Caenorhabditis elegans: one gene and its partners. The protein of the gene in region 3 interacts with the protein of the main gene of each other region in a pairwise test. Each region holds a gene or a part of one and is shown on either strand. Other genes may lie near its edges. The genes, in order: mex-1, tmem-131, cgh-1 and nhl-2.

Region 1 (6,148 bases), on a different chromosome or scaffold from region 3:
ACGAGACCCATGATTCGCGGCCGTTTACGCCCCATAATAGTAAAAGATGCAAGCGCGCTCCACCGAATTTTTCGAGGATTCAATAATAACAATCAAATTCCCAATTCCCTCAGAAATGGACCGGGCTAACTTTTGAAATTGCCGCCGAGGAGATGCGTCGGCTCAAGTCCGAGCCAACCGATCGAGAGCGGCTGAAACTCTACGCATTGTACAAACAGGCTCTCCATGGGGACATTCCAAATGAGGATGTGTATCGTAAGGGTCTCGAATGGAAAATAATCCAAAATCTAACATTCTATATTTTTCAGCAGTTCCCGCCGGTGACGAGGTCGGCAGGAAAAAATATGCCGCCTGGAAATCGCAGAAAGGCGCGAATTCGGAGAAATGCCGCGCGGACTACGTGGCAATCGCCGAGGAAATGATCAAAAAATACGGGCGGAACATTGTCCGTTGCAAGTGGAACAGTGAAGTTTGGTCTGTGGATTATTGATTGATTTTGAGTATTTTTTTGTTTTTGAATAAAAATTCAAATCTCTTCATATTTGTTCTTGGCGTTCTGGGTCGGTGGGTATCGTGGCGAGACACCGATAGAGAGAGTGAGATAGACTAGAGAGAGAGATAGAGAAATGGGGAATGTTTGGGGGGAAACGGTAGAGATCACAAAATAACTTTTTACAATCATTATCAAAATAAATATGGCTCAGATTGGCCGGGGGGTGGGACACAAAAATACAAAATATGGACATTTTTTTGGTGGTGTGGGGGGAAAATTATGATATGACATGAAAATTTGGAGGGGATTTTTTGTTCTTGTTGTAAGAGATTTTGGACTGGGACAATTTGTGAGAATTTGGCAGATTTTTAGGTAGGTAGGTAGGGGGTGGACGGAGGAATCCAGATTATCTCGAATAATGATCTTCGTGAGCATCGTCGTCTTCACCGCCCATCGATGATTCCTCTTGGATCATTGTCATTTTCCCGAAAATCTTCTCGTACCACGGCTGTTCTTGGACTGGAGATGATGTGCTGGTGGTCGTGGTGGAAGGGATTTGATGAGCTGGCAGAATCGCCGATGACGTCATATTCAGATGAGAACCGTCGACGAGCAGTGTATCCTCCTCGCGAATCAGTGAAAGATCCTGAAACAAAATTTGTATGGAGGGGGACCAATCAGCGATTCGCACCGCCCATTTTTCAACCAATCAAATGAAATGGGCGGAGTTTATTTGAAGTAGATTTTTCATTGTTCAGGGATTTTTTTGTGGTTTTTTTTGGAAAGAACAGCGAGAATGGGGGATTTTCTCTAAAATTCAAAATGGAACTGCTAAACCAATCAGCGTCCTCGAGCTCCGCCCACTTTTTGTGATTGGTTGAAAAGTGGGCGGAGCGAATCGCTGATTGGTCGCAGTTCTCATTTTGGAAGGAATTTCGCCAAAATTTAAAAAAATCGGGTTTTTAAAAAATAATTTTCATTTTTTTTCGTGGTTTCCCTGAAAAATAGCTAGAACGGGAATTTTGCTTCTTTTTTTAATCCAAAAATAGTATAAATTCATTAAAAACCACAAAAAGGAACTGCAAAACCAATCAGCGTCTTCGAGCACCGCCCACTACATCTGATTGGTTGAAAAGTGGGCGGTGCGAATCGCTGATTGGTCGCAGTTCTCATTTTGAAGGGAATTTCGCCAAAATTGAAAAATCTGGTTTTAAAGTAGAATTTTACATTCTTTGCCGATTTTTTTGGTGGTTTCTCTAAAAAAAGCGAGAATGGGGGTTTTTCTCTAAAAAATTCGGAAAAAAAACTACAAAAAATGAAAAAGATTCGTAAAAAGAGATTTAAATTGATATTTAAACTTTGAAGAGAACTGCCAAACCAATCAGCTCCGCCCACTATATATGATTGGTTGAAAAGTGGGCGGTGTGAATCGCTGATTGGTCGCATTGAAAAATCGCATTTTTTGTGTTTTTTTCATAATTAGAAGCAATTGTTCAGCGGGGATGCCGTACCCTTTTCGGTAGAACCGTCGCCCGTTCCTTCTTGACAACTCCAGTCTGATTACGCTCGACGTGCTCCTCGTTGGCGCGGATCATGGCTCCATAGGTGCGAATGTTCTCCTGAAAATTCTCAAAACTTGACGGTTTTATCCGGGAAAAAGGCGGACTAACTGGTTTTCCGAACATTTTCCCGCTTGCCATAGAAGCTTCATAGTCGGCCTGATCAATGAGAGAGCTCAGTGGACCGGTGGATGGTGGTGCCGGAATATGACGACGTTGATGATGATGATGATGATAATGATGATTGTCAGACCTTTTAGGTCCGTCACCAGTTGCCATTTCAATATTGACAACTTGCATCGATGGATAGACAATCTTCGGAGCTGGTGTCTGCTGCTGCTGCTGCTGCTGCTGCTCACTACCAAGATGCTCGAATTGATGATGAAGCCGGCGGCGAGGAGCACTGTATCCACTATCCGACATATCGTGGAAATTGTTGAATGGTGGCCGACGATAGCGTTGTTGGTACTGCTGCTGCTGCTGATGTTGTCGATGGTGAAGCTCACTCAGATCCTCCACTTGGGATGATGATTCGTCGGGATTGGTGATCTCGTCGTCGCGAGCCGGTGAGATCTCGCCTTCTTGAAGAGCACGGTTGTACTCGCTCAGTGGAAGACCCTGCAAGAATTTTTTTTTAATTAAAAATTAAAAATTCCTATGGAAATCTACTAGATTTTGAATATTTTTCGGGAAAAATTAGGAAATCTGCGCTGAAAATGACTCAAATTTTGATTTTTTCAATTAAAAAATAGCGAGAAAACAGAACATTTGAAAAATTTCACTAAAAAATCAATGGGTTTGGCAGCTCTATTTCTATAAAATGAATAGGAATTTGAAGATTTTTAACGAAAAATCAGAAAAATCCGACTGGAAATGACGAAATTTTTGTCTTTTTTGGTGAAAATAACCTAAAATTTGTGAAAAAAAAAGAATTAATCGCGATTTTCAACGAATTTCAGCTCGAATTTTTATGAAATTTTTAGGAAATGCAAGATTTCCCACAAAACTAGGGGCAAAATTCAGTGAAAATGGCGAAAAATTTGTGGAAAATTGAACTGAACGCGACTTTTAACAGTTTAACGAAAAATCTGAAAGTTACAATGTGTTTCACACAAAACGAGGATTATAAACTGACTTCAGCTCAAAATTTCCATGAAATTACTTAGAATTTGATGATTTTTAACGAAAATTTGAAAATCTAACTGAAAATGACCAAATTTTGATCTTTTTCACTGAAAATAACCAAAATTTGTAAAGATTTCGCAATTTTCAACGAATTTCAGCTCAAAATTTCGACGAAATTAGTAAGAATTTGAAGATTTTAAACAAAAAAACCTAATATAAAAACCTAAGAAAATAATGCTATTTTATTCATTTATGAGAATTCCTGCAATCTCAAATGTTCCAACCTTCTTCAGCTTATGAATAAACTGGCATCGTGGTCCATAGGGACACTGTCCAAAGTTGGAAAACTTGTCGCACAGCTGCGTCTTGTACTTTGGATGCGCCTTGCCACGTGGCTGCGACGGCATCCTCAGCTCGTTCTCGCCGTGAGCAAACCGGCAAGCTTCGCCGTACGGGCAGGAGCCTGAGCGCTTAAAAGCGTCACAAAGTGCCGTCTTGAATGCTTCTTCCTTGCGCTTCTGACGCTGAACCGACTCTCGTTCGTCATCAGTCATAGTCTCCCATTGAGCGGAATGACGGCGATATTGCGATGAGGAAGAGGACCGATGCATGTTGTTGAATGACTGAAAAATATTAGATTTTTATATTTTTTGAATTTAATAATTCAAATTTCTCCTACGTCATCGGACACAGAGATATTCTTGTTGGTGGCTCTGCGATATGGCATGCTTCCAGCCTCAATTGGCTCCTCCAACATTAGCTTATCCATTTCGGGAATCGCGGCCGCCAGCGACGGAATGAGGTTCCTGTGGGGAAGCATCGGGGGAAATCCTAAAATTAATTTTTAATTTTATTCGATTTATCCTTCAGAAGCTAAAGAAAATACCATGTTGATACATATTCTTTTGTGGTTGGAAGCCTAGAAACGTTTGTTGAGCCAACGCGAGAAGAGCCGGGTCGCATGGAGCATTCATGAAGTACGGCGTCTGCTTTTGTTGGTGATGCTCTCCATTTGAAGATTGCATCCTTCTCCTTTCCTGAAATTAATTAATTTGGTGGAAAATCGACGAAAAATCATGTTTTATTGAGGAATTGAGGAACAAAATCGTTAAAAAAAGGTGTAAATTGAATTAAACTGAATTTTTGGGCAAAATCTCCGCAAAAAATGAAGAAAAATGAGCGAAATTCGCGCCATTTACCTCAAAATCCAAAATTTCCCGCTCCACGGGCTACGGTAGTCGTGGTGAGACCCTGCAACAACTTTTGTGGCTGCGTCTTTGAACCGTAACTTTTTGATTCATTTTTATTATTCTTCTTTGTTTTCGGACAGTTTCCTTGTTTATTTGTTCGGTTTTTGATGTCGAAAACTCTAGAAAACAAGAATATAAATTGAAACTCTTCGAGACACAATCTATTTTCAGATTTTTCGCATGTCTGAAAGCTTCTTTCCATTTTTTTTTCGTTTCTTTTCCCCCGTCTATCATGAAAAATTCTCTGAAAAAAAAACTAAATCCGGTTTCCAATCTTTCGAAATTTTTTATTTGCCTAGTTTACACTCAGGAATATTCCTAAGTATAATACCAGGAAACCCCCCGAATACCCAGTCTTTTTCCATTTTCCCAATTTTAATTTTATGTTTTCTGTACTTTTCCTTTCAAAAAGTGCTTCTATTTTTACTATTCAAAGCTGCTCAGCGTGAGCATGCTCATGACTAAGCACGAGAAGCTGAAGCTGAAAAATTAGGGGGATCACTTATTCGGTGGATTTAAAATTTTGAAAATTAAAGTATATATTTTGCTAGTTTAAGCTGTTTGTTTTAAAGCTTTATCTTTAATTTTGAAGTTTTTAATTTTCCTCCCAGTTTTCACCATGAAAAACTAATTTTCTGCTCAAAATCCCCACGAATCACTTTCCATGCTTCGATAATTCCCGTGGTCTCGTCACAAGTGCGCTCTGTCGAACGCGTCGCGGCTCTCGCGGCGCGTGTCTCATCTGGCCATTTCTCCCAGCTGACGGCCCTGTCACGTGCACTTTTTGCCCCTTTTTACACAAAAAATCGCCACTTTTTCAATCTTTTTGTTCTTTTTTTCGTCACCATCACTATCCTCTTTGTCAGAAAATGCGAAACTTTCCATTTTACAGGCGCCCTCACGCGAAAATGGCCGATGCGATTCAAACCGCTCCTAGGTTCACTGGTTGGTTTTTACTCGAAAAAACTGATACAATACTATTTTAATCCAGGGAAAAATCGAGACCCGCAATTATTCACGGTAACCAATCATTACAACGAGGTGAGCTACACATATTTCATTCAAAAAATCGAAAATATTCCATTTCAGGCGGGCACTGGACCGCTCGAAGCTGCCATTTGTAGGCACAATCCGCTGCACGTCGTCTCTGCAGCATTGCGACACCAACATGAAGAATCGCAATGCCCCGATCGGAAGTGGAATCCGTCGGAGAAGATTGTAAAGTACAAGGACATGCAGTAGCTTGTTGGAGGAATTTTATATACTTTTTTTAAAAATTTATTAACCATTTTTCTCATTTTCCCGACATGTATTTTTTTGCTACGGGTCAAATTGTATTTTCGCTTTATGTAATATTTCTAAATAATTTCGTCGTCACAATTTAGTTACTATTTGTTCTTGCGACACAGGTTGAACAATCGCCTGTCTGTATCTTTTTCTTTCTTTTTTTAATCTATAATTCATTTTCTTATCAGTTAATTGATTTTTGCAGCACAACAAAAAGGCTTCCAGTGAACAAAAATGTCGGGAACCAGAAAGAAGGCGCTGCTCAAAGTGATCATTCTCGGAGATTCGGGCGTTGGAAAAACATCTTTGATGAATCAATATGTAAATCGGCGATTTAGTAATCAATATAAGGTTTGTCAATTTTTTTAGAAACTGAAATTTTTGTTTAAACTCAAAATTCTCCCTGAAATATAAACAAATTTCTCCTTCAGGCA
Region 2 (7,966 bases), 2.5 Mb from region 3:
GCCTTTCTTGAAAGAGTTGATGAAGCTTGACTTGGACTTCTCTGTCTTTTCATTTGCTGATTGAAATTATCAATATCATCATCTTTGAATATATCCTTAGATGCGGCAGACATCGATGAGAAATCCATTTCTGCATCATCGACATTGACATCCTGTAATATTTCTTAATAAGTAAAGATATTCAATTCTAATTTTAATTACCTCATCAATCCAATCTGGTGCAGCTTCACCTCCAATACTTTCTTCGTCTCCTCCTAAATGTCCGCTAGTTCCCCAGGTCATTCCAATATCCGAAGGTGTTGTAACTGTAGTTCCTTCCGAATCATTAGTTATTGGAGCAACTCCAGAAGCTTGTCGAATAAGATCTTCCATCTGTTCCGCACTCAACGGCCCTCCATAATTCCACAGATTCATAAACGGCATTGCAGCTTGAGCCGCTGGTGTATCCCACATTCCTGCGTCCATTGGCATGCCCATTGATGACAAGAATTGACGATAGAAGAGATCAGGTGAAGTTAAAGAAGTTGGTGGGACGTGAACAAAGTCGTCTGTTGGAGCTGACGTCGGAGCAATTGGAGCTGGAGAGCTAGCGGGATGCTGAGCTCGATTAGACTGGGATGGTGTTTTGCTTGGCGTTCTTGCTTTCGAAGGAGTTGGCTGCTTTGGCCGTTCAACTGGTATTGCATTGGGCTTCTTCTGTTCAGATGGCTTGATGGGTTTCTCTGGTTCTGTTGGCGGAGGAATTGAAGTTTTCGGAGTAACGGGAGTCTTTGTGACTGGTGGTACCTGCACATGTTTCTTTCGCTGATTGTTTCCTTTTGGTTTTGGTGATGGTCCCGGAGTGGTTTTCTTCGCTGGTTCCATTTTATTTTGAACCGGCGGGCTTTGAACAACTGGTTGTACAATAATAGGTGCTTCCAAATTATTATTTTCTTTCTGTTGCGCAGCTCGTTTCTTCTTTCTTTGACTTTTCGACATTGGTGGCTCAGGGTCTGTCACAACCGAAGATTGAGCCCCAGAATCCTTTCTCTGTGCCCACATCTCTGCAAGCTCTTCTTCTTCAACTTCATCAAATTCTGGAGCAAGTTCTCCAGAGTTTTGTTGTCGCTTCTGCTGCCCAACATATTCAAGCATTTGACGGAACTCTTCAACCTTCTGCATTGTCACTGGATTCTTCTTTTTCGTTACTTTTGCCGATTTTGATTGTTTATCATCCGCTTTTTCTCTCCTCCAGAACAAAGACCATTTCCAGAATAAATGAACGCATTTCACAATGAAGTTGGCCAAACCGATAAGTAATCGAGAAATGAGCCAAGCATCGGATGAAGCTCGAAGCGTTGAAGGTCTAGTCGCCGGGGTTGGCTTCTTTATAGAACTTTCGGGCTTAGCTGTAGAAGGTACTGTAGGAACAGGTGTAGTTGTAGAATTGTTCTTATTCAAATTGTTGAGATCAAATACGTGGCGAGGAATGGCAAATTGTTGTCTGATGGCAACGGCAATAGCACGATCACCTTCCAGATAGGCGCATGCAAGAACACAAACAAGACAGAATCTGAAAATAATTATTTTAGTTTTCATAAAGTTTTGTTTAAACTTACATCAGTGCTGTTACACAGCTATAATACATGATATTCTCAAAAGGTGGTCGAGGGAGTGCCTGATGACATTTGGCAAGCATATCACCGGGTACTGTAGATGCCAATGGGAATATCCAAGCACTACCGTTCATGTGCATATAAAGTTGTAAATCTGCTTCATTGGTTGTTGTAAGGAAGTCTGGTGTGTAACTGAAATTTAAAAAAAATACAATTTATGTTTATTTTGTAATTATATTTTTCTAACTCACGCAATATCTAAAGCATATGTCTCATTTGGTTGTAGACGGAACGGGTAACAATTGAGAATTCGAAAACCTCGATTCTCGCAAGGAACACCGTTAATACTCATATTGGTTACGGTAAATTGAACTTCTCCACTATTCATCACTTGGAACGGGCGGCGAACAGTCAGAGTTGAGTGCAATTTGTGCATTAATCCTGTAAAATTTTGCATTTATATTTTTCAATGAAATTTCGAATCACATACTTTTAGGGTTATTGCAATCTGTCAAATGATCGTGCCGAATTTCGAATAATAACGGCTTTTTGGATCGAGCTTCGGCTCCTTCAACTTTAACTCCAATTCGAGCACCTTTTCCATACATTACAACTGGCTCAATCGCTGTCAAATTGTTACGAATCAAGAGAAGAGATGATCGGAGTGTGTAGTCTGATGGCAGGAAACCAAGGCGAAGTCGAATTTTCATATGTGGTTTTAGGATCATTGATAACGTGAACCTGAAATTAATTGATAAATTGAATTAATTTTAAAACAACTAACCTAGGAATATTAATTTCATTATTATATCTTGGCATCTCATGATTTAAATGATATTCAAATGCTTCTCTGAGCTTCGGAACAGGTGAATCTGACTTCAAAGTGAACAATTCAGTGTCTCGCAACGAAAACATCAATGTTTCGTTCATTTCAACATGATCTGTCAGTTCGGATACCAAATTTGGACGCATCAGTTCGACGAGAGACTCTGCATCCGGGTAGATAACCAATGGAATTACTTGAATTGCAACTGGCACATTTGTTGGATTGGCTAGTGTTAGATTCACGATGGTGAAGTTTCCAAGAGCTGTTAGAGGGAAATGAATGGAATTTCTTGTGAGAAGTCGTGGCCACACCAATTCAGCAGATGTTTTGATCTTGATATTCTTTGCTTTATCAGTATCCAAAATTATTGTAGTGTTGATATGATGTTTTCCACTATTCACCAATGCATCATATTTCTTTCTCAACTGTTTGTACAGATAAGAATCAATTTCTGGCAAATTAGATGGTAGTGTGAGACCATGCGTAAACCACGCTCCATCGGAACTTCCTAATGGGAGACCCAGATAACAGTAATCATGTTCACATGGAGCTGATGGAGAGAACATGACACGTCCAAGATTAGTGAGTCGTCCTGAACGAAGCACAGGTGGATTCTTGGGATCGAATCCTTCGAAAAAGAATCGTGGATCTTCATTGAGAGTTGTCAGACGGGTTACGGTCATATCTTCGTCGAATGAGTTGAATACCTAAACAATTTCAGAAATTGAAGCAACTATTAGGATCTTCCTACCTGTAGTGTTCGATAAACCAATTTCGACGGGAACGTCTGTCCGAAGCATATTTCTTCCGGTATCGACTGTAGTGATCCAGTTGATACTTGATAAGTAACTCCAAATATTTTACTCTCTAAATCAGTTTCGAAAATGATATTTCCGTTTCGAACAACTCCATCCGATGGAACTTTCAGCTCCAAATCAAAGATTTTTCCTTTCATTGGTGGAATATCAACATCGGTGGCTTCAACGTATTCAAGACGTTCATCATTTCGAACATCAGAAAAGTTTCCGATCGACTTGACACCAACTTCGTAGAGTCGGTAAGCCGAACGATGTGGTACAGCAAGATTTTTGAGACGCATCTCAGCTCGATTGTGATTCCAAACCACGAACTGAAATTATAAATTGAAATGTTATAACTTTATTTTAATTTTTTCTTACTCGAATTGTCCTTGTGTCATTCCTTTCAACAAAACCGAAATCAAATGAATTTTTATCCACAGATATCAACTCAACGTTCATTCTTCCTGTATAGGTTGATAGGCTTAAATTAAAAGTGGAAACATTTGTGTGTAGATAAATTGTAGAGTTATCGAATGTTGGTGGTAGTTTCTTATTGTATTTCAGAACAAAGACTGGTGAAATGTGGCCGGAACGGATGAGGGCAGTGCGATCAATGAGTCGAACCTGAAAGAAGAGAAAATAATAACTAGGATAATTCAGTTTTGAGAATTTGAACTTTAAAAATTTCCCAAAAAAAAATTATGAGAACTTACAGAAAAGTGGGAGACCAATTCTGGAGCCAATGTAATATTGAAAATAGCCACATCGAATGGCAACTGATTTTCAATTCGAATAATTCTTTGATGAGGTGGTCTCAAATCTTCTTGAATCGATAAATCATTTCCAATCGGGAGAAGGTCTCCACGAAATACATCGGCTCGATACGGAATGCTAACATTATAGTTTCCACCTCTAGAAACTGCAATAATGTGCCCACTAATATGTTTCATCTGTTGTTGAGGTGACATTTGTACTCGATTTCCTTCTAGATATACTTTTACAAGATCTGCTTTTGGTCCCAATGTGACGCTTCCCTTTGTTGGTGGATATACTATAATTGGTGGATGTGAAGCAAATTCCATATAAATTGCTGTATGATCTCCTTTCTCTACGTATAGAGTCTCGAATTCCAACCTTCCTCCAATTTGATATTGAACCACAGAAAATACTTTGGCCTCTGATTTCATCCCTTGTCGAATAAGTCCAAAATCCAAAATTTCATCTGTTGCATACACTCCGCGACGTTTCAGAACTTCAATTGGTACGGTTAAATAGATATCCGTATTCGGTTTGCGATGCTCAGAGCTCAAATAAATTTCAGATCCAATTCGAACAAATACTGTCGAATTTTCAGAAGTTGCTCCAACTAGGACCAGCGTAGCGATTTGTTTGGATTGATATGGACGAATATCCCAATATTGTAGTGGTTCTTCAGCCAATTTACTGTCAACTTCATGAGGAAGTTCTATGTGAGCATTTCCTCCAGATGTTCCGATCTATAAATTTTGTTAAATTAAACTAATTTAGAAGTAAATAATTATTAAATTCAATTATATAGGCGAAATAATTGAAGATTTTCGAAAATTGGTCATTTGAAAGTTTTGAAATGTTACAAAAATGAAAATGTATCTATTTTTCTCACAAAAACTAGTATTTTTTCGATTCAAAACTATTTTAAATACAAAATTTTTTTTTTATATTTATTTAAACAACGTCCTTTGAATGTATTTTTATCATCTCCGTGAAATTTTTCATTTAAAAAACAAACCTCGGTAATTCTCATTGTATACGCGTACGGATTGAAAATAACAATTGGCTTTGAAATAGATGAATTCATCGGAAGACGATAACCAGTAAATGGTGATATACGATATGGATTTGAATCACAATTTCCCTGCATTTTGTATGTGAATACTCCAACAGAAGTGTAAAAATGAACAATTGTCGATCGTTTTCCAATTTCTCGTGGTAGGAAGACCACTTCCAATGATGTAACACCATGTGGCTCAAGCTTCTGAAATTATCAAGAAATAATTGATTTTTGAGTAGAGAAAACTCACATATTGCTCAAAATATGAAGCTTGAAATTCAATAGAGTTGACAACAACTGCATCGAGGAATATCTGTTCATTTCTCATATTTCGAATGTAGATTTTGCGTTTCTGCGCGGTACCGACAGAACTGAAAAAAAATGCATACTTGGAAGGTTTTTTAAATTAATCAAAATTTTTGTTATCATACTTAAAATGGCCCCAAAATGTCGAATTTCATAACGAGACATTCCAAAAATTGCATTTTTTCAAAGTCTCGTTATGAAGTTCGATCTTTTGAGTATAATTAAAAATTATTCACTTTTGCCCAAAATCCATCATTGGTGGATCCATCTCCATTGGAAGTTTCCCTTTTCCAGACAATTTCAACACGTTGAATGTTTTCGTCGCATGGTTCTTGTTGGCTTCTTTCGGACAATTTCCTTCACAAACTCCTTTAATTGAATCATAAACTGGCAATTGATGCACATTTTCGGGTCGAATAGGATGATTGAGATAGTGAAGCTCTTCACCGATTTGAACAAATGCGGTATGAAGAACTGGAATCTCGTGAAGCTGGGATGCGGACACTTCTTCTGGAAGAGGCCATGCCTGAAATTGATTTTTTAATGTGAATTTCTGAGGCTAAACCATACCTGCTGATCTGCAAAAGTTGAAGTGATTAAAAGAGAAATTAGGAAGAAATATATCGTCCGATATCTGTTTGAAGTTTTGTGTATTGATGGAACCATTTGAGCATTTGGTAAATTGAGAGTTTCTCTGAAAAAACGAATAAATTTTTTTCTATAGGTTTTCTGAGTAAGATAATTAAAAAGCACAATAAAACGGAAATCAGTTTTTATTGCTTATTTTTTGCTTATTTGCTTATGCAACATGGATGATACGTGGAATTGAACGGCACTAAGAGATTTCTCCAGGGAAATAAAAAAGTGAGAGACAACGGCAAAGGCGACGTCGACTTCAATTGGGAAGGATAACTGGGAGAAGAGATAGTGTTTGATTTGGAGAGACCCAGTATTCGGCATCTTGGGAAGAAGAAGATACAGTCGTCGTGAGACGCAGAACAAATAGGATCGATCGATTTTTGAGGGAAAATAGAGATGTTGAACACGTCATCACACCATTATAAGAGAAAGAAGAACGAAGAAATCTGGTTTGGAAAAGTGAAGAGAGAAAAAAGAAAAAGGGCTTTTTTCGGTGAAAAATGAGTGGAATCAAGTGAATAAAACAAAGACAAAGTGATAACCATCTGTCATCTAGGTCAAGGCAGTCAGGAAAAAAGTCTATAGCTGTCAACCGCAGGCTAGTTTTATTACCTCGGGTATGAATATTAATGAAGCATTAAAATATTGAGCGCTTGGATTTACATAGAATTTAGAAAATCAGAAAACAGTCTTTATTTAGCAGAACAATTGTGGAAATTATGGACACATTTTTTTTGTAATCAGAAAATGATTTTCTTCGGCTATTGTTGTTAACAAACACGCGAAAAATAGAATATTTGACAGAGTATACTATAAATATCAAAAATATGTCTTAAATAATTCCGAATATGCAAATTTCTGCGCGAAAACGTTCAAAACTGACGATTAAAAACCAGAAAAACTACAGAAACAAATTACAGTTATTTCAGCCGTGTGGAGAATCCTCGGCCACGGCCACCAGAACAATATCTCCTGACTGCAGTGACTGGTTTTCCGATGTTTACACTGCTGGAAGTTACTTCATTGTTCTTTTGCAAACAATTTCGCTTGGAAAATATTGATTTAATTTAACTTGAACGTAAATTGACTTTTAAATTGATTAATGAGTAGTTTTATAGAGGGTTTTGGTTACTGTAGCTTTAAAGGCGCATGCTTGAAAAGTTTTAATGAAGGAAACTCTTCCATAATTTGCAAACATTTTCACTTTTGTTTTTTAAGCCGTTTTCTGCTGAATTCGTCTTTTTATTATGAAATTAAAATTGTATTAATTTCAGAAATGATTTCATTCGAGGATTTTCTCCTCCGACCATCCAAAGTCGTCGATCCATTCAACAGATTCGTCGCAAAAATTGATCCATTTCTGACTCTTGTCGAATTTTGCCAAGTTATCGGACCAAAACCACTAGCGGTAGTTTCTCAGCGGCCAGATGATAAAAGTAAATATTTATACACAATTTTCTCGAATAAATGCTAATTTTCAGTCCGCGGAGTTGACATAAACGATATGGCAATCTGGTTGATGTCGTCTGATACTGTTCCGGGTACAATGATTGTGTTGGAAAACAATCAAACGGGTGTATATGCGGCCGCATATTATTTTAATTTGTACGACATGAGAGCAAGAGCTTTTCAAAGAAATTTATGCATCGCCTATTTATGTTCGGAGAAGCCAACAAAAGAAACTTTGAACCTATTCTCATCAGCTATGAAAAAATTAGTTTCACCAGTTTTGATTTGCAATCGACGTCTGTTTATTCGCCATGTCACTGATATTGTCAAGTTTTCGGACAGTGTTGGTAAGTTTTTTTTCTTCGATTTTTTAAACAAATTGTTACCATTTTCAGATGAAACCACCCTGAAACAGTACTATACACTGAATGGAGATTCACAAAAGTTGTCAGACGGAAGCAGATTCAATGTAGTTTTCGAGCAAACCAGGCTTCTAAAAAGCAAATTTTTGACGAAAAGATTTCAAGAAATGGCTTTTGAT
Region 3 (4,957 bases):
ACGGATACGGATTGTTAACATTTGCATAATATTACAAAAGGCGAGGATATACATATAGAAAAGCATATGAGAAAATGAAACTAAAAAGAATTTTCAAAGTCATTGCGGTCGGAATCCGAATACACACTAATAGATTAATGTAGACGTTCCGACCTCTCCCGTCACCGCAATATCAACTAATATTACTGTGCGCGGCGCGCATTACTGGTGCCGATACGGATGGGCAATCACCTCTCCGGATGACACATCCAAGAGAGAAACAGTAAATTGAATACCGACCTCAACCATTGCCGCTGGCTGACTGTCAACACATTCAACGCCTTCCGCTGCTGTTGCCAGGGAATACGAGAAACGAAAGTAAATCGTCGCATTTTGTTACTTTCATTTCACATGGTCTTTCACTCGGGAAATGCGCTAATGTGCTTTAATGTATCTCTTGTGGGTTTTCGGTTTTTCTCAAGGCTTTCACTACTTTCCTCTTCATATGAAACTCTGAAAAGAAATAACAGAAGACGATGTTTCGATTCGGTCTTTTATTGTTAAAGATGGCAATCATCCAGAAGGAAGCTTGCACATCCTTTGTGAATCGAAAAATTGTGCAAATTTTTGGTGTCAACTTCTACAAATTATACAATAAACAAGAGGGAGGAGGCGGGAGAGAACAAATGGTTTTGGAATGGGGATGGGGGAAGAGCTGTAAGCGAGACACATGGCCAGCCGGAAGCCTTCCAAGACATTATAGTCTTTGAGCCATTTGACATGATAATAGTTGCAATAAATATCTATCAGATTAGGAGATGGACAAGTTGAACTGGAATGAGCACAAGAGCGGAATAAAACCCTACAGATGGGCAAGGGAAAACCGCAAGGATGGTGGTTTTAAATTTTGGATGCATTGGTATGGGGCATGAAGGGAGAATTGTGGGAAATGAGATAGGAAATTACAAGATTGATCAATGTGGTGCGGCTCAACAGAATAACTACAGAGCCGGCTACCCAGTATGATACACGTCAAAAAGAACCCGATGTGTATGAACAATGTCCTTACACTCCCAAATATATTTTGCAACGACACATTAATGTCGAAACAATTTACTTTGGGAGCATAAAGACCAACTTAAATGACTATGTAAAACACAACGACTTGAATGAGTTACAGTCCATGACTGCAAGTTGGAGGGTATGGGGAAACTAATGAAAAAGAAAAATTAGAATTTTACACCGCATATAAGTGGAACGGGTTGATGGGGTCCGGGAAGGTGGATGGGATACAAATAATGTGCGGGGATTTGAGAAAACAGGAAGGAAAGATGCTTATGCTTGAACAATATTAAATTTAGCACAAACTGTGCATTTAAAGGAAAATAGAGAACATACACAATCTGGACGAGATCACTAGAATGGAAAAAAAAAACGTAGGCGACCAGTGTGTTTTGGAGGTTTGGGGATATGAGAACTAGTGTTTAAGCAGTGGTCTCATCGGCGGCATCGACGAGCTGCTGGTCAGCGACATACAGCTTCGGGTCAACCGTTTTCGGGATGGGCTCAATGCGAGTACGAAGCTCCTGCTCGATACGGCGAAGGGTGTGACGGTCTTCGTAGGTGATAAGGTTGATTGCAACTCCGAGGTGACCGAAACGTCCAGAGCGACCGATTCTGTGAAGGTAAGTCTCGGCGTTTCTTGGGAAGTCAAAGTTGATGACAACATTGACAGCCTGGATATCGATACCTGAAAAATTACAATTATGCATGAACTACACTTTAAAATAAGAAAAATGGCGCTCAGATATCCGTTCTTCAATTATCTCTTCACATAACTTCAGAGTGTGTGTATGTGTTATCAATCCTCATCGCGCAAATTATTTAGTCAAACTTACCACGGGTGAGAAGATCGGAGCAAACCAAGTTTCTGCAGTTTCCTTGACGGAAGTCATGGAAGACACGGTTTCTGTGATTCTGAGCCATCTTGGAATGAATGTAGTAGCACGAGTAACCGATTTCCGTGATTTTCTTAGCGAGAAGCTCAACACGTTGAGTAGAGTTACAGAAGATGATCGACTGGTTGATTTGAAGTTTTCGGAACAACGTATTCAAACAGTGGACCTTTTGCTTCTCTTGAACAAAGGCATAGTATTGGGTGACACCAAGAAGAGTAAGCTCCTCCATGAGGTTGATCTCATACGGCTTGTGCATGTGCTTCTGCATGAACGAAGTGACGGTGTTAGGGAAAGTGGCAGAATAAAGCATAACTTGACGCTCCTTTGGGAGGAAGTTGATGAGGCGGTCGAGAATTCCCTGTAAACGAGAATTGTTATCTTATTCAAATGTTAATTTTTTTACCTGGAAGTCTTGACTAAGAAGTTTGTCAGCCTCGTCAAGAACAAGTGTTTTACAATGTTCCATTTTGGCGACTCCTTTCTCCATAAGATCGAGAATTCTTCCTGGGGTGGCGATGACCAAGTGAACCGTTCCGTTTAGACGCATGATATCATCACGGAGATCAGTTCCTCCGGTAGTGACCATAACTTTGAGCTGAATGTGTTTGGAGAGCTCCACGCAGATCTGTGAAGTTTGGAGAGCCAATTCACGAGTTGGGACAATGACCATGGCTTGAATAGCTTTGAGGGCTGGCTGGATCTTCTCGATAACAGGGATACAATAAGCTCCGGTTTTTCCTGTTCCGTTCTTAGCTCTTGCGAGAATATCTTGACCAGTGAGAGCGACTCCGATGGATGCTTCTTGAATAGGACTCGGTTTTTCCCATCCTTTCTCAAAAATCCCCATGAGAAGATCGCGTCCAAGGCAGAAATCCTCAAACTCGACTCCCTTCGTATCAGTGACATCCTGAAAAATGAAATGGTCACAAAGTCATATAGGCTTTGCAAACTCACAGCAGTTTTGAATCTTCTGTCTTTTGCTGGAAGATTGAGACCAGCCTTCCAGTTTTCGTCGCCATTGTTGGCAGGAACGATCTGTTGTTGCTCCGCTCCACTCATTTTCCGATGTCGTAGTAGGTTTGATTTCCTGATGAGATCTGTAAAATCGAGATTAAAGTTGAGAAGTTGTTAATGGTGTAAGTTGAGAAGTTGTTAATGAAGGAAGATAAGTTTTTAATGCGAAAAAATGATACCTATCGAGTTTACTACAATTTTGTTAGTCATGGAAAAATCATTCAAGCATTTTCAGAACAATTAGGAGGAACGCTAAATAACACTGAGATAATATTTATGCGAGACAACCGGTGTCTGTCTCGCGCTCGTATACACACGATCAATGACGGTTAGAAAAAGCAAGCGAGTGGTCGGCGGCGCATAGAGACGCACAGACACTCTTTGGGTTGCTGGAGTATCTAGCCAACAGGGTAGCCGATGTTTGACGACGTGGCAATTGACAAGAAACAATTTCAAAAGGTCAGAGAATCACGACAATTTTTTATTGATACCTTCCAGTTTTTAAGCGACTCTCCAAACAATAAACGCGAAAAAGTTTATATTTTACATTCGAAAGTTTGAAAGAACACTTTTTGTTATCGTTTTTTAAAACAGGTTTCTGAGCTACGAAACTGATAAAAATCTTCGGAAAACGACTGAATCTATCAAGAAAGTGTCGATAACAGATTGGAGCTGCCATCGTCGCCTAAAACTCTTAGAAATCTAGAGAAGAAACACAGAAACACGTGGAGAACAACGGCCAAAATGAAGGAAATGTGCGAAGAAACGAGAGTGTGGAGAGAAAAACTGTGAGAGCGACGGGACGAGTAGGCCAAGCTGCTGCGAGCGACGAGTGAGAGGCATTTCGCTGCGTACATTCAACACACAAAAGTTGAATACTCAGCCAACGCGCGAAACAAAATGGCGGTAATTCAAAATTAGATTTCAATGAAAAACTTTACGAAGATTTGATGCGAAATTTCTTGAGAATAATAATGAATTAAATATTAAAAAGAATATACCAGCGTCGATGAAAATTTATTAAAGGATAATTAGTTCTAAATGTAATGAGTAATGTGATTACTTTATCGTTTTTCGATTTCCTCATTTTTCTAATTCGAACTCCTCATATTCAACCAGAAATCTGTGATATGCGTCACATCTAGCTCCGTGATGGCAGTATACGATGAATATAAGAAACCGACACGGTTGGATAACACAATTGAAATACGCCAAATCCACAATAGGCAATATTTTCGAGCTGCCAACAAAATAAATTGTTCCGAAACAGGACACATCCACCACCATTTTTATAAACTGAAAATCTTAATTGAAAACAGGAGTCAAAAGAAACGTTACATTTGTGGTAATCGTAATAACATTGAGACGTTGGACTCCATTGTATGATATAAAATATATAACTATCAAAATGCTTGTTAGAAAAAATAACGAAAATTGAATGTAAACAAGTGACAGATACACGAACGACTCTGTCTTCATATCTGCAATTTTAGTTGTTATATTTTTCCACTTTTTATTTTCTTACAGAAATAAGCAGATCCAAGATAAACCGATTGGTACCAAGTTTGTAAAGCTTCTAGGCAAATCATGTTTATAGCAATAGGACTCCAAGATCCCTTAAAATTATTTATAAAGGCAGAAACATTACAGATAACAAACTTGATCGAGATTGAATAACGGCGGAGGAGATAGACTCATAATTCTTATATGCAAATTATTTAAAAATGGTTTGTTATTTTATTTATGAATTATATGATTTGAACGTTAAATGTTAATAATAATATGAAATTGCGTGTAACTCATGAATTGAAATTAATTACGTTATTATTTTGTTCTTTCTTTTTTCAAAAATAAAATGTTTCCTTACTTAAAAGTCGCGCCGAGATCCGAAAACACGCCAAAGTGGTTGCTGGCGCGTTTCATCATAATTGCTGACGCATTGTCAGTGCCTGGTCCATTTACTGGGAAAAATCTAACATTTTAAATTATTTCCCGGGAAATTTCCC
Region 4 (7,577 bases), 2.6 Mb from region 3:
AATCTTCCTTTTTCTCAATTTCTTGACTCAACTTCTTCTTCATATTCTCCCGAACAACTCGGCTTCTCAAACCATCCGATCGGATGAAGACCACTTGTTTCTCACCGAACATTAATCCTGAAAATACGTAATTCATGTTAATTTTTATTTTAAATTTAAAATCTCACTCATTTTCCTTGCTGGTTCTTCTACTTCCACTCGTGCCAAATGACTAATTGATTGAGGTCGTCGAGCTGATTCTTCAGATTCTTCATTTTGAGTAGACATTTTCAGTTAAATCCAGCTGTAAATTTCAGTTTTATCTAGACAAAAAAGCGAGAAAATCAAATTTGAAAAAGCAGCGAAGCATGATTTAATTATAAAAGTCTTGATATCTATGTACCTTTATCGTTTTCTCGTCATTCGACCATAATAATTATTGATCATTGTTCAATATCTCTGCGTATCTTTTCTCTTCATTGATTCACATCTTCGATATATTCACGCGCACATCTAACGCACAGCAAACACGAAAAACACGAAAAATACTTTTTTTTTTGATTAACACTTTATTTTCATCAAAGTTAAAATTTTGAAAAAGATGGTAATTATAATAAAATTCTGAGAAATAGCCTTGTAGAAAACATTGAGAATGTGTACTAGAAAGCGCTTTGGATTCGCCACGGAAATGGACTCAATAAAAATGGGGGAAAAATCAAAGTGGTTAGCACAAAAAAGTGAGAATAAGAATTCGCTCCAATAAAAATTTCACAAAAAAGAAGAAAATGATGGTTTTGAGCGGCAAATTTGAAATTTCAGTGGGAAAGGTACGGGGCTTTTATAAAAAATGATGGAAGAGAGTAGATAATTGTGTCTATAATCATCACGAAACAGGATTAAAGATGAGGTTCGATTCGATAGATGAGAATAAAAAGAAATGTACAAAACGAATAAAAACGATTTCAAAAATGGGAATATGAAGAAATTGAGTAACGAAATGTGCTTTTAGAAGAGCTTTTTGTGGTACCTACTGGGATATATAAGAAACATTTGAAAGCGACGGGACTAGGGGGGAGAATTACACTGTATGTATAGGAAAAAGTTAAGCGATCTCAATTGAAAAATGCACTAGAATTTCAATGAAGAGCGTTTAACTCAACGTATAGAGTATATATGACTGACCTCTAGAATCGCTAGAAATGAGGAAACATAGAAAAAAAAGCCGGGAATTTGGGGGAAATTGAGCATTTTCGTAAAATAGTATAAAAATCTGATAAAATTTGGCTGAATGCGAGAATATTTGGAGAAAGAAAAGAAATGGTTGCTGCACAGGGACGCTTTTTAGAATAGAATTTGGGACAACGATGACGAGGTTTTGTTGTAGTTCAAAATATAAACTTTATAGTTTCAGAGTTTTTTAAAAGTTGATCTCCCGTTTGAAAACGCTGAAATTATAACAAGGATAACAATATACGAGAAAAATGAACGGAAGTGAGTAAGAGTGTGTAGGGAGCCCTATATTTTTTTTGGAATTTTTTGATTTTTTTTGGGCGAGCTGAAATTCAAATTTCACTTAAAATAGATACAAAACGATGCAGTCCTAAGATGAGGCTTATAAGAAAGAAAAAACAAGAACATTTTTGAAACGGAAAGGCGGGGGCGGGTTGAAAAGTTGACAGGGGTAAATTTGAAAAAAAAAACGCTAACGGTATTTACATTTTAACGAATAAAATGGTATAAACTGGATAAATGGGAAATAAGAAGAAAAAACTTAAAATCTTTGGAAAGAATTTGAGCAAAATAAAAAAGAGACGTTTTTGTATTAAAAAGCTTGAGGGAGAGGAGGGGTGGCAAATGAGGTCTCAAAACGAAAGAATTAAGAGATATGGGGAGGGGAAAGAAACTTAGGAACTTAAAATAATGGAACAACACCGGGGACAACAAAAAGGCGGATAAGCAAAGGGAGAAGGAAAAAAAAGAAGACGGCTAGAAATGAGAAAAAAGAAATGTACAAGAAAAAAAGCTTATATAGGAATTGGGGTAACCTCCTCACTGAAACTTGCTGATGAGCGAAGTTGCATGAGGAACTGGAGTTGGAACAGGAAGTCCATTTGGAAGAATCAATGGTTTGAAGACGAATAGAGTGTGGTTATGCTTACACAACGTCACAATGTGACCACTTTTAGCGATTCGGAGACCAACGCACCGAGAAAGCTGAAAATACAAATTGTTCAATATAACTGCACTTTCTAAATAATTTTCAAGATACTTACTCTAAACTCGTTGTGAGTAAATGAATGAATATGTTGTCCTTCGGGTGAGAATACAACAACGTGCAGATGATTTCCATGAGTATCAGCTACAAGAACCTCTCCTGCCTTCGAGACGTCTATTCCAATTGGATATGGGGTCTGTGATGGTTCTCCCATTTTTCGGATGAATTTTCCTGAAAATATTACACTTTTTTTTAATCCAGAAAATTATTACGGTACCTTCAGAAGTGTAAACTTGGACACAATGATGCTTGAAATCCGTTATATAAATCAGGTTATCAAACATGGCAACATCAGAAGCTTCTCCGAGTTGAGTGGAAGCATCGAACCAGAATGTGACTCGTGGTGCATCTACATCAATAGAATACACAAATCCAGCAGTATCAACAAGTAAAAGTTGTCCATTCGGGGTTGCGGCAGCAGCGGATACTTCTATTCCGCCACGTGGAACCAAAGCCATCATGTTGAGACGTTTGACGAATTCACCACGAGCTTCGAAGATCTGAGCACGAGTTTTCCCGTCACCGCCTTTATCGAGTACCACATAACGGACAGCTTCTCCTCTCAGTGCAATCACTTTTCTTGGGAAGCACAATTGTCCGTCATCCGTTCCTGGACGTCCAATCTTCCATGGATGAGGTGGACCACATACGACAACTCGATGATTATTGGTATCAGCAATCAGAATATCATCAGTGTCAGACAAACAGAATCCAGATGGACAATGCAACTCTCGAATAGTGCTTCCTTGTTGAGATGTTCCGAACACACTGTGCACCTTCAGATCGCTGACTCGTTGTGCGTTCGCTGAATTCTGCGATTGACCGACATCCGAAGCAGTAGTGGTTACAGCCGAATTTGCGGCAGCAGTAGCTGCTAGTGCTGCAGCTGCAGCTGATGTGAGTTGAGGATTCAAACTCAAATTTCCCATTGCATTCATCGCCAAAAACTCTTGAATTGTTTGATTGGTGCGCAGGTTGTTCTGAAAATAAATATTAAGCATGTGTTGTGACTGCATAATATGAATAATGAATAGTATTTAGGAATGTTTCAAAAATAGAGCTTACCATTGACATTATTTGTGGATTCAATCGATGGCTGGCAAGTGCTTGTAGTTGAGCCGCTGCTAACTTCTGCTGCATATAGGCGGCTGAAGCATTAGTTGACAGACCAGTAGTTGTTGGTGTAGCCACTGCTGGAAGCCCTTGACGAGCATTCCACATCGCTGGGAAAATAGACTCTGGCAATGGAGTTTGTGATCCATTTGTTGATCCATTCGTAAGTGCTGCCAAATCCATGTGATTTGCAGCCAAGGCAACCAGATCAGGACGCATACCAGCAGCCGCAGCAGCCATCGCAGCTGCATTAGGAAGATTCGAAAGTTGCTGTTGAGAAACAATTGGAGCAGCTGTCTGAGTCGGAGCTCCAGTTATCATAGTTTGAGGTCCAGTAACAGGTGGGGGAGTTGTCGATTCTGGTGGATGACTGCTTGGTGGCCATCCGCCGAATGCATTGCTGTCTCCACGAGTACCATTGGTTCCATTCTGTGTGTTCTTCTTACGTTCTCCACCAATTGCACCGAGTTGTGGATTTTGTGAATAAACAGGGCGTCCCCATTCTGAAAGAATCAATATTAATAATCAATTTATAGAGAAAATAATCAATTTACCATCTTGTTGTGATGGATTAGCTGCTGAGCTAGATCTTCCACCTCCTGGTTGAGAACCTCCTCTTTCACTTCTATCAGTTGATGCTGCAGTTGCATTTCCAACGTCTTTAACAGTTGGCTGAATCACTCGTCCGATAACTGTTCCAGTTAGTTGATGCACAAAATGATCAATTTGTTTTTTCGATGGAGTATAAAACTCAAGTTCCACTTGGTGTCCATGAGATGGAATAGCATGAGACAAGTTTCCAAATTGTTGAATAACTTTTTTCCTCGAAACAACCAACTCGAGACCATTTCCTTTGGTAAGAAGTCGGCGAGTGAAGTTGATGGCATCATGTACTCGTGCTTCGTTAACTTGTGATTTACGGTACATTTCATCAATGTTAGACTCTTGACGGATTCGCGCCTCTTCGAGATCGTTCACGCTTTTTTGATAGGCCTCCTGAAATTTTAATATATTTTTCCCTTTAACTCCAAAACATTTAAATTTTGATGCCCTACCTCAATAGAATTGCGTAACTCCTCATAATGTTTATCAACTCGATACTTCGCAATCTCATACTGTTCATTCAACTGTTGAGACTTGTCTGGAAGGCTATTCATATCAGCCACAGAATTGTTATATTTCTTTTCGACACGATCCACAGTACTTGTCACATCTTCCCTTATAGCATTGATCACAAGCTCGTTGATATCAATGATTTTATGATTCAAATGATCAACTTCCAGGCATTGCTTACAAGCCGCTGTTTCACATGCTGCACACAAATATCTCATATGCTGATTATGAGTGGAGCACATGACTTGACGAAGTTCTGGATGGGCTCCAGGCTGCCGAAGATCAGCAAATGTGGTTACAGTGTGACCTTGGAAAAGGTTCATGACAGTATGAGCAGTTGTGCAGTTTTCGCATAAATCTGAAGAGCATTGATCACAGAATGCGATGGCTTCTTGTTCGGATTTGCAGGCAGTACATGGTTTGCGATGGTGGGCAACCATTTTCTCAACTTCAACTTCCTTCATTTCGGCAAGACGAACCTGGAAATATTATATTGAAAACATTGAATCCAAGTTTAGTAATGTTTTTGGTAGATCAAAAGACCAAAATACTATGTTTCAGAAAAAAATTCAACTTACAAAATCCAGGAGCATGGCATGAACATATCGAACATCATTTCCAACATGCGATTCTTGTGAACAAATTGGACATCGGATTACGCCAGGAGGTGTTGGTCGTTCTTTAACTTTCGGTGTTTCCAATTCACAATCCAACATTGCTGCAGTCGCTCGTTTCTTCTCTTCAATGGCAGCTGACTTTGCTTGAAGGTGTCCATCAAGTTGAGCAATAATACAATCTTCGCACATTGAATGAAGACAATCAAGAACTCGCGGTTTACGGAAATCTTGTTGACAGTATGGACATGAAGCATGATCATCTTCTGGTAGTGGTTCTGTGCCAAATAGAGGTGATGATGACGTTGATCTGAAACTATTTGGATTATTTATTTATCAGGAAAAATTAGTGTTTAAAGATGTAATATACTAACAATGGCCTAAAAAAGACCGACTTTCATAACCAAATTCATCAAAAAAAAAATTCAAAATTTGTAGTTGCAGTTCAAGAAATTTCAGAAAAATTGTTTTATTTTGGCTGAAAATTTGATTTTGCCAATTAAAAGATTTAAAAAACAATAAATAATCGATACGGAAAAAACAAAATTAGAGGTTTTAGTTGAAATTAAGAATTTTAATGTTTTTTTTTAACTTATGTAATTCATGATAGCTTACCTCAGTGGATCTTGTCCATTCAAACTGGGCGTTCCACTATTTTGTGTGTTATTTGTGGACGTAGCGGGCGATTCATGCCTACCATTCACCGCCGAAGTCGGCCGATCTGCCGCTTTTTTCATCTTCACGGAATGAACGTTCGACACTTTTCAATCTTCTTATCCGGGTGCTTTTTGTTATTAACAAGCACACAAATACAGAATAAGAGAATATTAAAGTATCAGGGACACTCTTGGAGTGTAAACTGAAATGAAAAATGATTATAAGAAGTTAATTGGGTTTAAGAGTAGTAAGAAATTCGAGTTTCACAGAAAATACATTCAAAAGAATAATAAAAAAATCAAGGAAGGCGTCTAAAGTTTCGGAAAATCAGTGAACTATTCGAACTCTAATAAGAATTACAACAAAAACGAACACCTAAATACAAAAAAAAACAAAATATTTGTTGGTTTGAACAACACAACGTTCAGTTTCAGCGTTTCTTTCAATGTCATAAGACTTATTCCACCTGACCAGAAAATTGTTAGGTTCTACAAAAAAAGAATCACGCGCAGACGAATAAGATACAGAAAAAATGAAACGGAAGAAGAGATAATCAAGAAAAAACAAAGTACTTATGGCATTCAATGTTCTAAATATTCTGCAATGCAATACTAAACAAAAAGCGAGCGCAGGGAATGTTTAAATGCAAGTGTTGTAAACGAAAATTGTTGATTTTAACAGAAAATTTTTAATTTTTAAATAAAAAATGAAGAATTTAAAAAAATTCAAAAGTTTTAAAACAAAATAATGCACTTTGGATGCCATTTTCTTCAGAATTTCACGATAAAACATTGAAATTTATTAGAAAAGCAGAAAGCTGAAATCAAATTCTACCTGTTACTGAAAAATCAATTTGCAAAATTCGAAAAAATGACGTCATTTCGACGAAAAAGAGCAATTACTAGCGCACTTTTGCACGAGACGCGTGCAGACAGTGGCGAGAGAGTATGCAGAATGAAGAGAGTAGTCATAGACTGGGACACCGCTTTCTGTATCGTCTCACACGCATGACACACACTTTCGCGGCCGCTACGCAGAGAAACCGCCTACTTGGCATCGTGCCAGCTGCACTTTCACCACCTCGAGGGTATTTGTTGGCTGAATGCCAAGTGGGCGGAGTGAGGGGCGTGAGGAAAACTGCAAAAGTGCGGCAGGGAAATTCGACGATTTTTTCGGAAGCGGTTGGTGGATGACCATTCGCATGATCATTCAGATGACAAACACTCTATTGGAAATTTTTTTCCGAATTTACATAAAAAAGAATTTAAAATCTTTTTACAATAGTAACGTATCAAGTTAAAAACTTTATCAGACGCTAATTAGGCTTCATAGGAATTTTGTTTACTTTTTTCGCATTTTAGCCAACGAAATCGATACGAGCAGGTTTTTGAAAGGCGCTTCCACTAATAAAGAGTTGCAATTTGACTAAATTAATATTTATTTAAATATATTTTACCAGTTCAACAGAAATAAATACTCAAAAGGGAACAATTTTTTAATAAAAAGCAAGGATTTATTCAAAAAGAATTTGTCCAAGAGGAGTTCTGAAATTCACAGTACCAATTTCGTTGCGGGACCTTTTCAATGGAAAAAGCTATGCTCCTTTAAAATTTCACAGGTACTGTAAAGTTTTAAAGAAATTGTTTTCCTTTTTCGATGAGATTCTATTTTTTGACGCCTTATCAGTTTGACCTCTTTCTTGATATCAGTTGTCTCATTCGTGCATCAATATTCAAAATTGCCTCACCAACTACTTCTTACCTTACTTTTTCAGCTCCAGAGGATACTGAAAAGTGATTTTCATTTGATTACCCTTACTTAAGTTT

What was found.
Region 1: the proteins of cgh-1 (region 3) and mex-1 interact in a two-hybrid assay, tested with the Caenorhabditis elegans proteins (2 studies listed by BioGRID).
Region 2: the proteins of cgh-1 (region 3) and tmem-131 interact in a two-hybrid assay, tested with the Caenorhabditis elegans proteins (2 studies listed by BioGRID).
Region 4: the proteins of cgh-1 (region 3) and nhl-2 interact in a two-hybrid assay, tested with the Caenorhabditis elegans proteins (one study listed by BioGRID).

Annotation. Positions count from the first base shown.
Region 1 is NC_003280.10:11,966,703-11,972,850, reverse strand, and holds mex-1 (C3H1-type domain-containing protein), read right to left. Parts: upstream 4,215-6,148; 5' UTR 4,203-4,214; coding exon 4,064-4,202; intron 4,009-4,063; coding exon 3,857-4,008; intron 3,801-3,856; coding exon 3,462-3,800; intron 2,671-3,461; coding exon 2,164-2,670; intron 2,122-2,163; coding exon 2,005-2,121; intron 1,140-2,004; coding exon 900-1,139; 3' UTR 504-899; downstream 1-503. Other genes in the region: acbp-6 (ACB domain-containing protein), read left to right, coding at 114-255, 309-490; W03C9.5 (PTK2), read left to right, coding at 5,336-5,372, 5,419-5,468, 5,517-5,669; rab-7 (Ras-related protein Rab-7a), read left to right, coding at 5,949-6,065, 6,146-6,148.
Region 2 is NC_003281.10:4,992,131-5,000,096, forward strand, and holds the start of tmem-131 (Transmembrane protein 131 homolog), read right to left. Parts: upstream 6,032-7,966; 5' UTR 6,004-6,031; coding exon 5,908-6,003; intron 5,864-5,907; coding exon 5,574-5,863; intron 5,403-5,573; coding exon 5,282-5,402; intron 5,236-5,281; coding exon 4,990-5,235; intron 4,718-4,989; coding exon 3,935-4,717; intron 3,846-3,934; coding exon 3,600-3,845; intron 3,551-3,599; coding exon 3,173-3,550; intron 3,129-3,172; coding exon 2,380-3,128; intron 2,337-2,379; coding exon 2,086-2,336; intron 2,037-2,085; coding exon 1,847-2,036; intron 1,788-1,846; coding exon 1,599-1,787; intron 1,553-1,598; coding exon 202-1,552; intron 153-201; coding exon 3-152; intron 1-2. Other genes in the region: Guanine nucleotide exchange protein smcr-8, read left to right, coding at 7,253-7,412, 7,458-7,772, 7,821-7,966. UniProt on the Caenorhabditis elegans protein: Collagen binding transmembrane protein involved in collagen secretion, probably by recruiting the ER-to-Golgi transport complex TRAPPIII. Required for normal development.
Region 3 is NC_003281.10:7,494,799-7,499,755, forward strand, and holds cgh-1 (ATP-dependent RNA helicase cgh-1), read right to left. Parts: upstream 3,035-4,957; 5' UTR 2,997-3,034; coding exon 2,892-2,996; intron 2,845-2,891; coding exon 2,341-2,844; intron 2,296-2,340; coding exon 1,878-2,295; intron 1,857-1,877; exon of another isoform or gene 1,779-1,856; intron 1,730-1,778; coding exon 1,464-1,729; 3' UTR 522-1,463; downstream 1-521. Other genes in the region: C07H6.9 (Serpentine Receptor, class Z), read right to left, coding at 4,035-4,247, 4,290-4,432, 4,477-4,567, 4,611-4,649. UniProt on the Caenorhabditis elegans protein: Probable RNA helicase required for oocyte and sperm function. Also required to prevent the physiological germline apoptosis mechanism killing essentially all developing oocytes.
Region 4 is NC_003281.10:4,893,127-4,900,703, forward strand, and holds nhl-2 (B box-type domain-containing protein), read right to left. Parts: upstream 5,960-7,577; 5' UTR 5,832-5,959; coding exon 5,710-5,831; intron 5,405-5,709; coding exon 5,059-5,404; intron 4,960-5,058; coding exon 4,423-4,959; intron 4,364-4,422; coding exon 3,922-4,363; intron 3,871-3,921; coding exon 3,320-3,870; intron 3,235-3,319; coding exon 2,472-3,234; intron 2,426-2,471; coding exon 2,253-2,425; intron 2,194-2,252; coding exon 2,029-2,193; 3' UTR 532-2,028; downstream 1-531. Other genes in the region: F26F4.6 (TFIIS-type domain-containing protein), read right to left, coding at 1-117, 168-267.